Macaca mulatta: one gene and its partners. The protein of the gene in region 3 interacts with the protein of the main gene of each other region in a biochemical or structural test. Links are inferred from orthologs where the notes say so. Each region holds a gene or a part of one and is shown on either strand. Other genes may lie near its edges.

What was found.
Region 1: the proteins of BCL10 (region 3) and CARD11 form a complex in vitro, tested with the Homo sapiens proteins (2 studies listed by BioGRID, with this or other methods). The link is inferred for Macaca mulatta from reciprocal best matches to the Homo sapiens genes BCL10 and CARD11.
Region 2: the proteins of BCL10 (region 3) and IKBKB form a complex in vitro, tested with the Homo sapiens proteins (2 studies listed by BioGRID, with this or other methods). The link is inferred for Macaca mulatta from reciprocal best matches to the Homo sapiens genes BCL10 and IKBKB.
Region 4: the proteins of BCL10 (region 3) and CARD9 form a complex in vitro, tested with the Homo sapiens proteins (2 studies listed by BioGRID). The link is inferred for Macaca mulatta from reciprocal best matches to the Homo sapiens genes BCL10 and CARD9.

What each region holds. Positions count from the first base shown.
Region 1 is NC_133408.1:37,050,946-37,055,024, forward strand, and holds the start of CARD11 (caspase recruitment domain-containing protein 11), read right to left. Parts: upstream 2,801-4,079; 5' UTR 2,524-2,800; intron 1-2,523. UniProt on the Homo sapiens protein: Adapter protein that plays a key role in adaptive immune response by transducing the activation of NF-kappa-B downstream of T-cell receptor (TCR) and B-cell receptor (BCR) engagement.
Region 2 is NC_133413.1:44,370,707-44,374,664, reverse strand, and holds the start of IKBKB (inhibitor of nuclear factor kappa-B kinase subunit beta), read right to left. Parts: upstream 2,801-3,958; 5' UTR 2,637-2,800; coding exon 2,608-2,636; intron 2,404-2,607; coding exon 2,286-2,403; intron 1-2,285.
Region 3 is NC_133406.1:155,296,063-155,299,404, forward strand, and holds the end of BCL10 (B-cell lymphoma/leukemia 10), read left to right. Parts: intron 1-2,330; coding exon 2,331-2,686; 3' UTR 2,687-2,842; downstream 2,843-3,342. UniProt on the Homo sapiens protein: Plays a key role in both adaptive and innate immune signaling by bridging CARD domain-containing proteins to immune activation.
Region 4 is NC_133420.1:6,136,314-6,140,506, reverse strand, and holds the start of CARD9 (caspase recruitment domain-containing protein 9), read right to left. Parts: upstream 2,801-4,193; 5' UTR 2,728-2,800; coding exon 2,317-2,727; intron 1,805-2,316; exon of another isoform or gene 1,723-1,804; intron 1,151-1,722; exon of another isoform or gene 1,003-1,150; coding exon of another isoform or gene 850-1,002; coding exon 651-849; intron 214-650; coding exon 76-213; intron 1-75. UniProt on the Homo sapiens protein: Adapter protein that plays a key role in innate immune response against fungi by forming signaling complexes downstream of C-type lectin receptors.

The DNA of each region.
Region 1 (4,079 bases), on a different chromosome or scaffold from region 3:
TGCCACCCCTTTCCTAGTACAGTGTCCACAGGGGGCTGTCCTGTCCCATCTCCCAACTCTGCACCCCCTTTCGGGGGGATTGCCCTTCCTCCCTGAGATTTTCAGCACCATCTCAGCCTGGAACCTTCCAGGGATCCCTGGACCTTCTGAGTCCTACCATCTCCCAAGTTCACTCCCTGCTTCCCTCCCCACTCCTCCTAATTCTTTTCCATCTCATGTGCGTCTCAGCCACACTCTGACCACGGCATACACAGACTGTGTGATGAACCTACTCAGGTTGGAGCACTGCTTCTCACATCCCTCCTGCGTCCCCTGTGCCACCAAGTACAAAGCCACCCACACACACCCACTGATGGATTCAAACAAGCGTCGTCATCTTTAGAAGACTTAGGTTTAGAAGTCTTTTTTTTGAGACAGCGTCTTGCTCTGTCGCCCAGGCTGGAGTGCAGTGGTGCGATCTCAGCTCTCTGCAACCTCCGCCTCCCCAGTTCAAAGCGATTCTCCTGCCTCAGCCACCTAAGTAGCTGGGACTACAGGCATGCACCACCACGTCAGGCTAATTTTTTGTGTGTATTTTTAGTAGAGATCGTGTTTCACCACTTTGGCCAGGCTGGTCTCGAACTCCTGACCTCAGGTGATCCACCCGCCTTGGCCTCCCAAAGTGCTGGGATTACAGGCGTGAGCCACTGCGCCCGGCCAGAAGTCATTTTTAAAAATCACATAAAGGATGAGCAGATATACGAAATATGGTCTATCTACACGACAGAATATTATTCATCCTGAAAAAGGAAGGAGATTCGGTCACAGGTGACAACACAGACGAACCTTGAGGACATGAGGCTCAGAGAAATAAGCCAGGCACGGGAAGGACACAGGTTGTATGAGCCCCCTTATACGGGGTCCGGAAAATCATCAGATTTCTAGAGACAGAATGGAGAAGTGTGACTGCCAGGGACTGAGGAGGGAGCCAGGAAGATGTTCTTTAATGGGGGACACAGTTTCAGTTTGGGAAGAGCTGGACGGTGGTGACCACTGCAAGACAATGCAAATGGGCTTAACGCCAGTCCACTGTGCGCTTCAAAGCGGTTCAGTGAGCTACTTTTATGTCATGTGTATTTCACCACGATTTTTAAAAAAATCACATCAAGGACCATTCATGCATTAACTGAAGACTGCTGGGGCCAGGGGAGCCACGGCCTGCCTATCTGATACCCAGGCAAGTAACATCTACACGGGTCCAAGCAGTCCCTGGCCTTGGCTATGCTTCAGAGTCCCGGTCACTGTTACTGTCCTCAGGGCAGCCCCGGCCGGAGGCAGGAGTATCATCTCTTTACAGATGCCTCGCTGGGGAAAGAACGGGAGGTTCCGCGAAAGCACAGAAATGGACACTTAATGGATTCCTGTCCTCATATTAAGCACAAAAACGTACACTGACGGAGAAATTCCTGTCCTCATATTAATTCCTGGCTCCTGGGATTTCTGGCACATATTATGCACATGCTGAGCACTTAATAAACGTGGAATGAACGATCGACTGTTTCTCTCCCCTTTCTGGCAGGTTGGTAACCTTATACCTTCAAGACGAGTCATAAACGTCAGGAGAAACATTTTTGAACTACAAATCAAAGGCTTTGAGAGCAGGCGGGACAGACAGAGGTCAGTTTGGTCCAAGACGGAGTTTGTGTGGGCAGCCCTGAAGCTCACAGCTGAGACCACTGTCCATGAACCTGGGTCCCTGTGACAGCCTCCAGCGGTGCTCAGAGCCCCCGAGGGACAGAAACACCCTCTCTGCCCCTATCTTCAGAGGGGGCTCAGCAGAAGGCCTGGTGGCCCCATCGGGCCTGGAGCGGCCTCCTGGGGGTGGGTGGCTTTCAGGCCTGAGGCCGCTGGGGACTGGTCCGGGTTTCAGTGGGGAACCTGGGCCCCCTCCTGTGCCCCCACCACTCCCTTTCTAGCAGAGTCCCTGCGGGAGGCTGTCCTCTCCCATCTCCCAGCTCCATACCCTCTTTTGGTGGGGCTGCCCTTCCTCCCTGAGCCAGGCCCCACCTTCCCAGGAGCCTCTGAGTCAGGCTGGGCTGTGGTCTGCAAACTTCCGGGCCCTTCAGGTGTCAGAAAAGTTTCTCTTCCTCCCTCTGGGCAGGTGCACCAAGGGGCTGCAGCCTCCTGACCCCCGATTTTTTCCTGTCCAGTAGGAGGAGGTGGGGGTTTTGCTGGGCAGAGATACTCAGAGAGGCTCAGAGAGACACGGAGGAGAGGTACACGAGGTGGAAAGTGAGGGAGAAAAAGGGTTGGAAGGGAAAAGGAGGAGATAAGAGTGAGAGAGAGAAGTGGGGCAGGGGGACAGAGATGGAAGGATACCCCCATCATCGCGGGGCCAGCAGGAGCCACTCCCATCCCCCCCACGCCCCACTACCATGTCATCTCACTAATGCCCCCCATCTCCTCCCCATGTCCTCCTCTCTTTCCCCAGCTCCCCGCCTCGTGCTCCCCCTCCACCAGCTCCCCCATCCCGGCTGCGCCTACCTGGGGCGCTCATGCTCCGCCAGCTGCGCGGGGCGCCTCCTCCACGCAGGCCTCCGGCTTCCTCCAGGCGACCGGGCCCTCCGTCCCCGCGGGCCCGGACCCGTCCTCCGAGGGGCGCTGCCCGCCCAGGGGCTGCAGGGCCAGGAGGGGGCTGCGGGCGGCGCGGGCAGGAGTCCGAAGGCCAGAGGAGGCAGGAGAGAAAAAAGGAGAGAAAGTATGTCATAGGCTAGGAGGGGCGGGGGAGGGAAATGCAAAACCCGACAGGAAATGAGACTAAAAAATGCGAAAGGTTAGAAAAAGATAAGGAAGAGAGGGAGGGGGCGGAGTCGGTGCTTCGGGAGGAGGGCGGTAAGGAGGTGGGGGTGGGAGTGGGGACAGGGCCTGGGGTGGGGGTGCTTGGGGACAGATCAGGGAGCCGGGGATGGGGAGACCAAGGCGAGTCTCGGGGTCCAGGCCACCTGCATCAGTCGGGGTGAGGCTGGACCAGCCTGGTTGTCAGTCCCCACCCAGCTGTGACCCCAGGCAGAGTCCAGGTGGGGCCTTGGAAGGGGCTATCCCCTTTCTAGGTTCTTCAGGCCTTTGGCTCCCCAGGTCTAGCCGAATTTCTCAAGAAATTCCAGAGCCTGTCACTGCAATGTGTGTGTGCGCGGGAGAACGGGGTGTCCCACATAAAATTCTGCAGCCTCCTACACCCCAAGCCTCTTTCCTCCCTCAGCCCCTGTTCTGGAAGCTTCCTGGGCATGCTGGCTGGTCAGCACCCCTGCAAAGGCCTTCCTCACCCCAAAAGCTTTGGGGTCCAAGATATCCATCATCAGCTTGCACCCTCAACGTTCTGGTGAACTATGCTTGTGAGAGAAATTGTGATTTGGATGTCATCATTTTACTTTATTTTTATTTTTTGAGACGGAGTCTTGCTGTGTCACCCAGGCTGGAATGCAGTGGTGCGATCTCAGCTCACTGCAAGCTCCACCTCCTGGGTTCAAGCAATTCTCCCACCTCAGCCTCCCAAGTAGCTGGGACTACAGGCGTGCGCCACCAAACCTATCTAATGTTTGTATTTTTAGTAGAAATGGGGTTTCAACATGATGGCCTGGCTGGCCTCGAACTCCTGACCTCAAGTGATCTGCCCACCTCAGCCTCCCAAAGTGCTGGGACTACAGGTGTGAGCCACCGTGTCCGGCTGGATGTCAGCATTTTGATAATTTACCCCAAATGGCCAGCGTCGTGGGTGGGATGGTCCCAAGGGTTTACAGGGATTGTGGACTCAAAAATCTGGATGAAAGAAAATGTGATACACACAAACACACACACACACACACACACACACACACACACACACACACACACACACACATACACACACCATGGAATACTACTCAGCCATGAAAAAGAACGAAATAAAGTCTTTTGCAGTAACTTGCACTTGGATGGAACTGGAGGCCATTATCTAAAGTGAAGTAACTCAGGAGTGGAAAACCAAATACTCCATGTTCTTACTTAAAAGCGAGAGCTAAGCTATGGGTAGGCAAAGGCAGGCAGAGTGGGATCATGGACAT
Region 2 (3,958 bases), on a different chromosome or scaffold from region 3:
GCCTGCCTCTCCTTGCCCACGGATGTATTATAGATTTGAACTTTTTAGAGGGAACAAAGGAAACAACAGACAACAAGACAGTGGGCAACAGTGTCCTCCCCTAACCCCACTGGGTGACAGCAAGGATAGGGGTTCCTTAGGATGCGAGTCCTTCCTGCCTCCCCCTCAATCATCCTGCAACCCACGCCAGGTCAGTCATGTTAAACTTTCCATCTCTTCTTCTCTGGCTCATTGGCTCTTTGCCACCTAAAAGACCAAGTCTAAAAGCCTCTGCCTCACTTCAGAGCCCTCTGTAATCTGGCCACATCCCACCTACTTCCAGGCTGCCCTCTGGGAAGTCTCCACTTGACTACAACATGGCTTTATCTCTACACAGCTGCAGTCAGTAATGGGTGACTGTCAAAGGTTAGAAAAATAAGGAAAAAATCAAAGTGCTGTCAAGTTCCCCCATCTCTCACTGTGGGTCATGCCAAGGGCTGTGTTCATATCCTGCTGTGAGTGCCACTCCCAGGACATGCCTATCTCCAGGGAGAGCCACTCTGGCAGGCCAAGCCCACGGCAAGTTTCCTTTTATTTTATTTATCTGTCTATTTCTTCTGAGACAGGATTATCTTTTTTCATGAGACTGAGTCTTGCTCTGTCGCCTAGGCTGGCATGCAGTGGCGCAATCATAGCTCCCTGTAGCCTCAACCTCCCAGGCTCAAGCCATCCTCCCAGTCCAGCCTCCGAAATAGTGGGGACTACAAGCGCACACTACCACACCTGGCTAATTTTTCGTTTTTTATTTTTTGAGGAGATAGGGCCTTGGTATGTTGCCCAGGCTGGTCTCAAACTCCTGGCCTCAAGCTATCCTCCTGTCTCAGCTTCCCAAAGTGGAAAGCTTTTGTTTTTTTTTTAAGAGGCACAAGGGCCTGGAGGAACAGTAAGAGTAGCACCTGAAGTGTGTCTGGGAATAGCCACTGAAAGGGAATAAACGCCTGGGCTCCCACCCTCACTATTGTGACCCTTCCAAAGTAAAGAGGTGCACTCGCAGAGTAACCGACCTCGTTTTCAATTAAAATAAAAATTTTTTTGGCTGGGCGCAGTGGCTCACACCTGTAATCCCAGCACTTTGGGAGGCTGAGGTGGGTGATCATTTGAGGTCAGGAGTTCGAGACCAGCCTGGCTGGTATGGCGAAACCCTGCCTCTACCAAAAATACAAAAGTTAGCTGGGCATGGGGGCGGGCACCTATAATCCCAGCTACTCGGGAGGCTGAGGCAGGAGAATCGCTTGGACCCAGGAGGCGGAGGCTGCAGTGAGTCGAGATCACGCCACTGCACTCCAGCCTGGGCAATAGAGCGAGACTCTGTCTCAAAAAAAAAATATATTTTGTTCAGAGCTTCCAGTTATCATGTTATATGGCCTTATTCAGTCTTAGAGATGGAGAGGTGGCCTGCGGCTAGGTCTGTGTGGACTGGGACCCAGTCTCTGTTGCTACAGCTGTGTGAGGCCCAACCTCTCTGGGCTGTGATATCCACCCGTGATGTGGGAACCATACCTGTGCACTCATGTGTGAGCTGTTGGAAATCGAATGAGGTAACATGTACTAGCAGGCTATGTGGTACTATCATAGGGAACAACGGGGAGGAGGGCACCCAACTGCCCCTGAGACCAGAAGGGGCTGCCATCCACCCACCAGAAGTGAACACTCTAGGGAACAGGAGGTGGTGTGGTGAGAAGGTGGAGAGCAGAGCCCCACAGATGAGTCCAGGTGGGTCAGGTGGGTTGGGTGGGTCGGATGGGTTGGGGCAGGTCTGCAGCCCTGGCCCAGCTCTCTGATCATGAATCCCACTCCCTCTCTTCTATGCTCCCTGCCCCCATGTGTGGTGCTGTCCCATCTCTGGAATAAGATCCCTCCTAATAAGGAGAGCAGTGGCGCTGGCACCAAAGGCCTAACGTGGCCCTAACACGCCCAGGGAGGAAGCATTTGTTTTGGAACTTGCCCAGTCCTTCCCCACGCCCAAACCTGTGATGAGTTTTCCTTGTCATTGGAATAATCCCAGCAGAGTGTGCAGCACGCCCTTCCCCCTTCCCTGGTGTTCTCGGAAGTGCCTCTGACTTACACACACACCAGCCCCAGGTGGGCAGGGAACAGAGGATCTGAGAGGCAAAGCAGCCCTGCTGGAGTTGCTGGGGGTCCCCAAGCTTCCTGATGATGACAGAAGTGAAAGGTCTTCCCATCCCCCTTCCTGGTGTCCCACCTGCCCAGACAGGCTGTATGCCTGGCAGCCGCGGGAGCCTCACCTTCCGGAGATCTCCTCCTTGGCAATACTCCATGGCCAGCAGGGGCAAGTCATTGGGCGCCAAGTTCTGCATCCCCTCAGGGACATCTCGGGCTGCCACCACATTGGGGTGCGTCAGCCTAGGAAGGAGGAAAACCGATGAGAGCAGAGCCAGACTCCTGCCCAGACCCATCCCTATCACCCCCATCAGGTCTCAGCAACAAAGGCCCAGGATAACCCAGGGCTTCGAAACAGAGGAAGACAGAGCCCAGTACGGGTGGCCAACTGCAATGCCCCGGTCAGTGGCGTGCACCCAGCCCCACCCGCAGCACCAGAACTCAGACCCTGAGGGCACACTCCGTGTAACTTCCATTTTCTGTGCGTGCTACATCCCAAGTCCTCATCGTGCTGCCAAACTGCTCCTTTGAAGACCTTCCAATCTCATGCCCTCCACATGGGGGGGATGTGTCACACATGCAAGCAGGCAAACAAGGTGGTGCCTGCTCTTTTTGTTCTCGTATTTTTTTTCTTTTCTCTGTTTATTTTTCGGCAGGTTGATTCACCCACACACATCACCCCAAGGTGGACACACAGAGAGGGATCTGAGAAGGAACTCATGTGTAACCAGATAGAACCATGATGTAACCAAATGGCACTTCCTCTTTTTAAGAGGCTGGCAGAGGAGCCCCTGCTTGGTGTCCTCCTCGCTGGCTCTTTCGGAGCCCACCTCACTAGCTAGGGGGTCAGCAGCCACCGGGCAGATGGACGGCCCAGTCTCCACACTAGAGGAATAAATGTCAGCGGCAGCATGACAGCAGAGAACGGTCATGTACCACCTTGGAACTGGAAATACAGGAGGAAAGAAGGCTTTTTTTTTGCTGACAAAGGAAAAGTCACTGTGATAACTGTGTTAACTTATTTAATATAATGAAACTGATGAAAAGTCCCCGACAAGGCCCAGTGTGGACTTTAGCTGCTCTTCCTCTGGCATCTTTAGAAGCAGCAGAGTCACCGTGGAGACTGTCGGGCTGGCGCCCTGATGGAGGGGCAGAGATTTAAGACTCTCCTCTTCTTTTTTTTTTTTTTTTTAAATTAGACGGAGTCTCGCTCTGTCGCCCAGGCTGGGGTGCAGTGGCGCGATCCTGGCTCACTGCAAGCTCCGCCTCCCGGGTTCACATCATTCTCCTGCCTCAGCCACCCAAGTAGCTGAGACTACAGGCACCCACTACCAAGCCTGGCTAATTTTTGGTATTTTTAGTAGAGATGGGGTTTCATTGTGTTAGCCAGGATGGTCTCAATCTCCTTACCTCGTGATCCACCTGCCTCAGCCTCCCAAAGTGCTGGGATTACAGGCGTGAGCCACCGTGCCCAGCAAGACTCTCCTTTCTAGACACACGGGGGGCTGCTGCTCCAGCTTTCCCTTGGGGTGCACAAGGCCCTCACCTTCTCATGATCTGGATCTCCAGGCACCACCGCTCTCGATTCCGGGGGCTGAGCTCCTGCCGGCACTGCTTGATGGCAATCTGCTCACCTGTTTCCTACAGAAACAGCACAGTGGGGACCAGCAGAGCGAGCTGCAGGCCAAATCCCACCCTGTCTGCTGCATGGGAGGGATCTCCAGTCCTCAGGTGTCACCTGCAATCACCTCCTGGTGCTCCGAGGTCACATGTACACACCGATCGACAGCCACATAGC
Region 3 (3,342 bases):
GCAAGACCCTGTCTCAAAAAAGCAAAACAAAAAAAAACAGAAATGATCATTTGGCTTTCAAAGAGTTTAAACTTCAAAATTATATTCAATTTGCATTTATTTTACCTTATATGACCTTACTACATTGAAAAAGTGGAATATCTGTCAATATACTGCATTTCTATTCGTTTAATACCATTTATGGAAAACGTAACTATTATGAAATCCCTGTATACATAAGGATTTGTTTCTAAAGTCAGCAGAATATAAAATTATTCAAGAGTAACCTCTGAAAATACTGTACATCGCACATAAAGAACAGTATTTAGGCAAAGTATTTTAAAAGTCCAACTCTGCTAGTTTTTCTTGTGATCACCAGTTGATCGATCACAAGATGAAATAATTGGCACTTGTTTATAGGAATCACGTTGCATAAAATATTCGTGACTTGAAACTAGTCTGGCAGGATGTGAAAGCATGGAAACATTAAGAGAATAGCAAATTCACCTGTCCCATTTGACTCTCACTCCAGAATATACACTCATTGATTGGAATATTGTGTGGAATTGCCTACACAATTTAAATCCCCAACCCCCTCCTTTCTCTGTTCCTTGCTGTCTCTCTCTCTCTCTCCAGAACACATAAATGTGCATGTGACGTTCTACAGCTGTTCTAGGCATTAGGGATACAGAAAAGAATAATTTAGGGTTCTGCCCTTAAGGAACTCATAGTCTGTAAGTGTCCCCTTGCTGGGACACATTACAAGTTTTCCCTTTTGAGCCATATCTAAGAAAGTAGTTTCTATAGCATGGAATAGACATGCTGACTGTAAGGTTGAAAAACTAGTGGAAGAAGTGACATGTAAGTGTCCTTTATAGACTATGCAGGTTTTACCTAAAAATTGTCAACTCAGGGTTTCTGTGCCTGTAGGTTGAATATTTGCTAAGCCTAACAGAAGGGTAAATTGTATTTGTGTTTATTCTTTCAATCCTGTGGATAATGGTTAACTACACCCCTTGGATGTGATAAAATTCTTTGATGGTATCTAAGTTGTTTTCTGCTGTAGCAATACCTGAGACTGGGTAACTCATAAAGAAAAGAAATGTATTCATTTTTTACAGTTCTGGAGGCTGGTTAAGTCCAAGTCCATGGTGCCAGCATCTGGCAAGGGTCATCCATGGTGGAAGGGCAGAAGATGGAAGAGTGAGGGAGGGCAAGAGTGTGAAAGGGAAGAAAAAGGAGTCGAACTCCCAAAATAAGTAACCCATTCCCATGATAATGGCATTAGTCCAGGGCAGAGCCCTCATGACCCTGTTGCCTCCCAAAGGCCTCAGCTCCTAACACTGCTGCAGTGGCAACCAAGTTTCCAACATGTGAAATTTTGGCAGATACATTCATACCATAGCTGTTGGGAACAACCACTGTCATTTGAGTAAACTATGAGGTTGAGAAACAGGACATTATCTATTGAATTGTAGTTCTCAATTTCCCACAAAGTAGTCCTGGAATGTTGGACATGACTTGACTGTCCTGTGCCTTTTTTTTTTCTATTTTTTTTTTAAAGACCGTCTTGCTCTTGTTGCCCAGGCTGGAGTGCAATGGCACGATCTAGGCTCACTGCAACCTCCACCTCCCAGGTTCAAGCGATTCTCCTGTTTCAGCCTCCAGAGTAGCTGGGATTACAGGCACCTGCCAACACGCCTGGCTAATTTTTGTATTTTTAGTAGAGACGGGGTTTCGCCGTGTTGGCCAGGCTGATCTCGAACTCCTGACCTCATGTTCCGCCCACCTCGGCCTCCCAAAGTGCTGGGATTACAACTGTGAGCCACCATGCTCCGCCCTTTTTTCTCATTTTTAATAATAAGAGACTATCCTAGGTGACCTCTGAAATTCCTTTTAGTTCTAATATCCTATTATTCAAGAACTAGCCATTGCCATTGATCAACAGATAGAATTTTAGCATCTGCCCTGTTTACATTTTGTTTTTATTGGCTAATATTTTTTGTACCAGAATACTAAAGAATATTTATTGTGAAAGCTATTTCTTATTTTATAAAAAATTTTAGATGGTTAAGTTTATATGTACACTGTACCTTAAATAAGAATTATAACATGTCGTTTAACTTCCATGAGACTATTTTCTTATCTAGAAAATGCAAATAATAGTATACTTCATAGTTGTTGAGAAAAGCAAATTAGATTTGAAATAGATTATGACAGAAATTATAAATTGCTATTTAAATTTTGATTGTGGGGTAACTAGCTTGTAATCTTTAACAAGTCACAAGATGGACAGTGACTCCATTTTTTTTAGTTACTTTTTCATTTACATATGAATAATTTTATTGTAGGACTAAAATGTAGCAGCTGTGAACCTTTTCCAGATGGAGCCACGAACAACCTCTCCAGATCAAATTCAAATGAGAGTAATTTCTCTGAAAAACTGAGGGCATCCACTGTCATGTACCATCCAGAAGGAGAATCCAGCACGACGCCCTTTTTTTCCACTAATTCTTCGCTGAATTTGCCTGTTCTAGAAGTAGGCAGAACTGAAAATACCATCTTCTCTTCAACTACACTTCCCAGACCTGGGGACCCAGGGGCTCCTCCTTTGCCGCCAGACCTGCAGTTAGAAGAAGAAGGAACTTGTGGAAACTCTAGTGAGATGTTTCTTCCCTTAAGATCACGTACTGTTTCACGACAATGACACTTTATTGCCTTTTAATTTTTAATGATGACAAAAAATGTTTTAAAAAATATGAATCTTTTTATAAAATGGCTGTAATGATTTGTTTACATTTGATACATGTCTTTTAAAATGCGATGTAAGCATACTTTGTAAATAGGATTTTTAGAATTAAAAAAGCATGCTTTTAAGATAGCTAATTGTAAATCATGTTGATCATGTACTTTTTAGTAATTTCTTTTTTTCCTTTTTAAGGTCTTTCACTATTTTTTAAAATATTTTCTATTTTAAGACTGATTTTAATAGGGAATATATCTCTATTTGAGAATAGACTCTTACTGGGAAGAACATTTTTTCCTCAGTGCATTTGTGCTTGAAATTTTCAGTCTAATAGTCTTTGCCAGTCATTCAGCAGCAAATTTTCAGCATTAAGCTGTTCCTGTTCAGTAATAAAACCAATCACTGATGGGAAAACTGCCAATATAGAAAAATAAAAATAAAAAATCTCTTTTCCACTCCATTGTCTTATAGGCACTTAAACAGCCTTTTTTTTGAGACCGGAGGAACACTTGATGGAGTATGAGCCACCTCAGATCTCAGTTTGCCAACATTCATTTCTAATTAACATTACTAATTATACTACTTTGTTAGGATTTTCACATTCTTGGTTTAATCAT
Region 4 (4,193 bases), on a different chromosome or scaffold from region 3:
GCTCCTAGGGATGGGGGCTGGGCAGAGGACCCAGCACCACTGCCCGCCCCCACCACCGCCTTCCCCGTCACTCACCGATGATCATGGAGAAGACACGGGCCGGCTCCTTGCCCGTGACCTTCTTGTACAGCTGTGGGTAATAGAGTTCCAGGCTCTCGAGGAAGGCCACGTAGCCCTTGTGGCCGGTCCGCTGCAGGATGTCCAAGAGCACGCCTGCGGGCCAGAGGGGCCTAACTGGGGGCGGGGCACAGGCGAGGCAGAGGGCTGGGGTGGGTGGGCCCGGGGGCAGGGACAGGTGGAGGCTGGGATGCAGATGAGGTGTGCTGTGGTTTGGGTCGTGGATGAGGCACCCTGTGGGTCTTGGTACTAGGCTGGGGACAAAGTGCTGTCCACCCATCCCTTGGCTGTCTCAGGAGCCCCCGCTGTGGTGGGAGTCCCACTGCCCCTCTTGGCAGCACCGAGCTGGCAGGAGAGGCTGGGGGATAGGGTGGCCATGTGCCAGGGTTGAGGTTGGGCCTCACTGGGAGGCCAGGGGCAAAGCCAGGCGGGGCTCTCCTGGGGTCGAGGGTCAGGGTGGCAGAGCGTGCAGCCACCTCCAAGCGGGCTCCTTGGTTGGGTTTGGGACCTGGGGCCTGCGGGGCAGCACTGACCCACTTTCCGTTTGCGGATGACCAAGTTGGGGTCACTGAGCACCTGCTCCTCATCGTCGGGGTTCAGGACCTTGCACTGCCGCAGGTAGGGCGTGATGCGCGAGGGGTCGATGACCGACGTGAGCATCACCCGGAAGCCCTCCAGGACGCTCCAGCACTCATCATCGTTCTCGTAGTCCGACATGGCCTCGCAGGCAGGCTGGGGGGTGTGGGGCAGCCGCTGAGAGTGACGCCGGCTCCTGCCCCCACCCAGGCCCGGCTCCCGCTCCTTCTCAGACGCTGGGCCAGGGCTCTCGTCAGGGCTGTCGAGGGGGTCAGCCCAGGGGCATCCAGGAGAGGTACCCAGCTCCATGTCCCATCCCCATGCTGGATCCCCCAGGGAGGCGGCAGAGACACAGTGACCCGCTCCCCGCCAGACCAGCCGAGGGCCCCTCCACAGCCTTTCCCAGCCCCTGCTCCTGCCCCTTGGCCATCCGTGTCACCCAGATATGCAGCGGGGGAGACACAGATGGGGTCTGAGAGAGGAACTGCCTCCACGGCATGACTCGCCTCTGGCCTCCGCCTCCTGGACACTCCCACCACGCCCTGGAGCCTACAGGGGCAGCCACCTCCATGGGTGGAGGAGCTGTGGGCACCTGCCTGGCACTACGGCCAGCCCAAGCTGGGTGAGAGCAGGTTGGCCAATGACCCTCCCACTAGGGCAGCAGCTGGGGGAGCCGGTTCTGGCGGAACTTCCCCATTTCCCTGACCGACGCCTGCTCACATCCCGCGCTGTGCCCTCCCTCCTCCATGGCCGGCTGTTGATGATGCAAGAGTGGCCACCCAGCCCTGCCCCAGCTGCCAGGGTCGCTGCACTGGCCGGGAAGAGCTGCCCACAGGAGCGTGCCTCTGTCACTCCCCGCCGGCCCCGCAAGCTGGGAGGGGCTGTCGGTGTTGCCCTTGGCTGGCCAGGAGTGCTGCTGTGCTGTTTTCTCCAGGTTCTTAGGTGACGGGCACCCGTCAATCTCTGGACTCTTCTCCTGCCCCCGATGAGGCCCGACCCCCATCCCACTGGCTGAAACAAGAGAACTACCCATGTTGGGACCAGCCCAGCCACTGCTGTCCCTTTCTGCCAGCACGGTGGAAGCCTCAGCCGCTGAAAGCCACTCCCTCTGGGACTGGGGCAAGGCTGGGAACAGCCACATGGTCCTGCCTCCCACGCAGGTCCCCGGTCCTCAGCCTCCAGCCCCACTGGGAAATGCTGGTTTCCTGCCTAAAGGAGCTGGGTCACTACTCCTGGAGACACTTGGTCTTTTGAAGTGTTTGGTCTTGGTCTTTTGAAGAATTTCTCAACTTCCCACTGTACTTTGTCACCCCATTCAGGACAGTTTTGACAGACAAGGGGCTGAATAGAAACACCGGCCACACAGCGGACAGTCCTGGGAACACTGGGCCCCTTTCCTGCCTCCCCAGCCTGAAATGCAGGGTCCCACCTGCCACCGTAATGCCACTGAAATGAACATGTCTCCGCCCAGTGGCCATGAAAGGGATGGGGCAGCGCGGCGGAGGCTGCCTGGCTGCCTGTGGGAAGCCTCATGCTGCTCTGCGGGGATCAGCGCCAGGATTCTGAACGAAGCCGGCGCCGACCTTCTTGGTCACTTTTCAGAAAAGTACCAGACCCACCCACCTGAGGGTCTTCCAAGGAGCCACCTGCACGGCAGACGCACCAGGAGCCTGGGACGCGGAGCCTCGGGGAGATGCTGCCTGGGGCTGCAGGGAGGGAGGAGCGTGCCGGACGCCTGTGCACTTCCTGATGGCTTAACTCCACAGTCCCGCCAGTCCTCCCACAGGGGGACAGTCCCTGGTGGCCTGCCTTCTGATTCGTGCAGCCCAGGAGGCCCCGAGAGGCAGACGGAAGTGGAAGTCCTCTGCCCTCCACAGGAAAACTGCTCTCAGCCCTCCCAGCCTGGCCGGGGGCCAGGGGTCCTGAGAATGCCCCAGAGGCCCAGCCCGGGCACCTGGCAAGTAGAAGAGACAGCAGAGACCCCCAGGAGGCTGGACGAGGCCAGACCGCACCCAGCCGCTTTGACCTGGTCATAGGTTTCTGGAGGCTTCTTCAGGAGGGCATGCTCTGCCCTGTGCGGACACCCTTGCCCTCGCCGGCATCTCAGGACAGCGGGGCAGGGCATGTGCAGGGGGCACACAGCCACACAGCATGCCCAGCACACGCCTTGGTCATGAAAGGGCTGCAGCCCACCTTATGGAGCCCAGGAGGCCACTGCAGCCTGCCAGGGGCCATGGCACCGGCCACCACCCAGCTGCACACGGGGGAGAAGCGTCCCTTTCAGAAGTGTCGCTCGGTATCATTATCCTTGTCACGAGGCATCCTTGCTCTTCTCCAGGATGCACGTGAGGACTGAGGCCACTCCCAGGGTCCCCCAAACCAGCTTCAGAAGCACCGGTGATGGCAGGGCACAGCCCGCCCCCCATCCACAGACAACGGGCAGCAGGGTCTGCCCTGAACTATGCACTTCAGCGTGGGGCTGCTGGAGCCTCATCCCTGCAGGCTGGGGAGCCCCCAGGCCCCGCCTCACCGGTAAAGCTGGTCGAACCGAGTTGCCACCCAACAGCTTCGAGAAGGGGGCTGCCAGGCTGGAAGGCCAGGAAGCTGGTGCGGAGCTCGCCTAACCGTTCCCAGCCCCCGGCCCTCAGGCCTGACATCACGCAGTGAGGAGTGGAGTTAGGGGTCCTCTGGGGCTCTTGGGAATGCCACACTCCAGGCTGGGCCCCTCACCAGCAGCATGAGCGAGTGTGCAGGCAGGAACGCCGTCCTGGGCCCTGCTGGGGAGTGGGCCCGAGCTGGCACCAGGCCCTCATGACCCAGTGATTCCCCAGCTTGTAAAACGAGGGACCCCAGTGATTTCCCTGTGGTGTCCGTCCTTAGGAATTAACACACATACCATGTTCTCTAACCATGTCGGAAGCTAAAAATCAGTAACAGGTATCTGGAAAATCCCTAAATATTTGGAAATTAAATAATATACCACTAAATAACCCACAGGTCAGAGTGGCCACCAGGAGACTAGGCACCAGTTGCTAGAGAACCAGGCACAGCAACACATGCTCAGGAGCGCGGCCGGCCATGGGACCGTCCTGTCTGCCGGGTGCCGAGGGCTGAGGCCCCACGGTGCTTCCAGTGAGGGAGTGAAACCCAGAGAGCAAAGGGCCTGGGGGCGCTGCTGCCACAGAGACGAAGGAAAGGGAGTGAGGGGACAGACGGAGAAGATGGGGGCTGGTCTTATGCCAAGAAAGGCCCACGCAAAAGGACAGTGAAAGTTGTGGGGGCTGCCATCGTGTCTGGGTAGCCAGGTCACCTGTTCCAGGGAACCCCCTGGGTCAGCTGGGGCGGTGCGAGGGCTGGCAGCCATCTGGGGAGGGTGCCGGCTCAGCATGAAGAACAAAGCCACAGGTGCTTTCCATGAAATGGGCGAAAGCCTGCTTCTCTGCTGGGAGGGCAGCCAGGGTACAGGAGGCCTCGAGGACCCCAGTGCTGGGCCCCCAGCA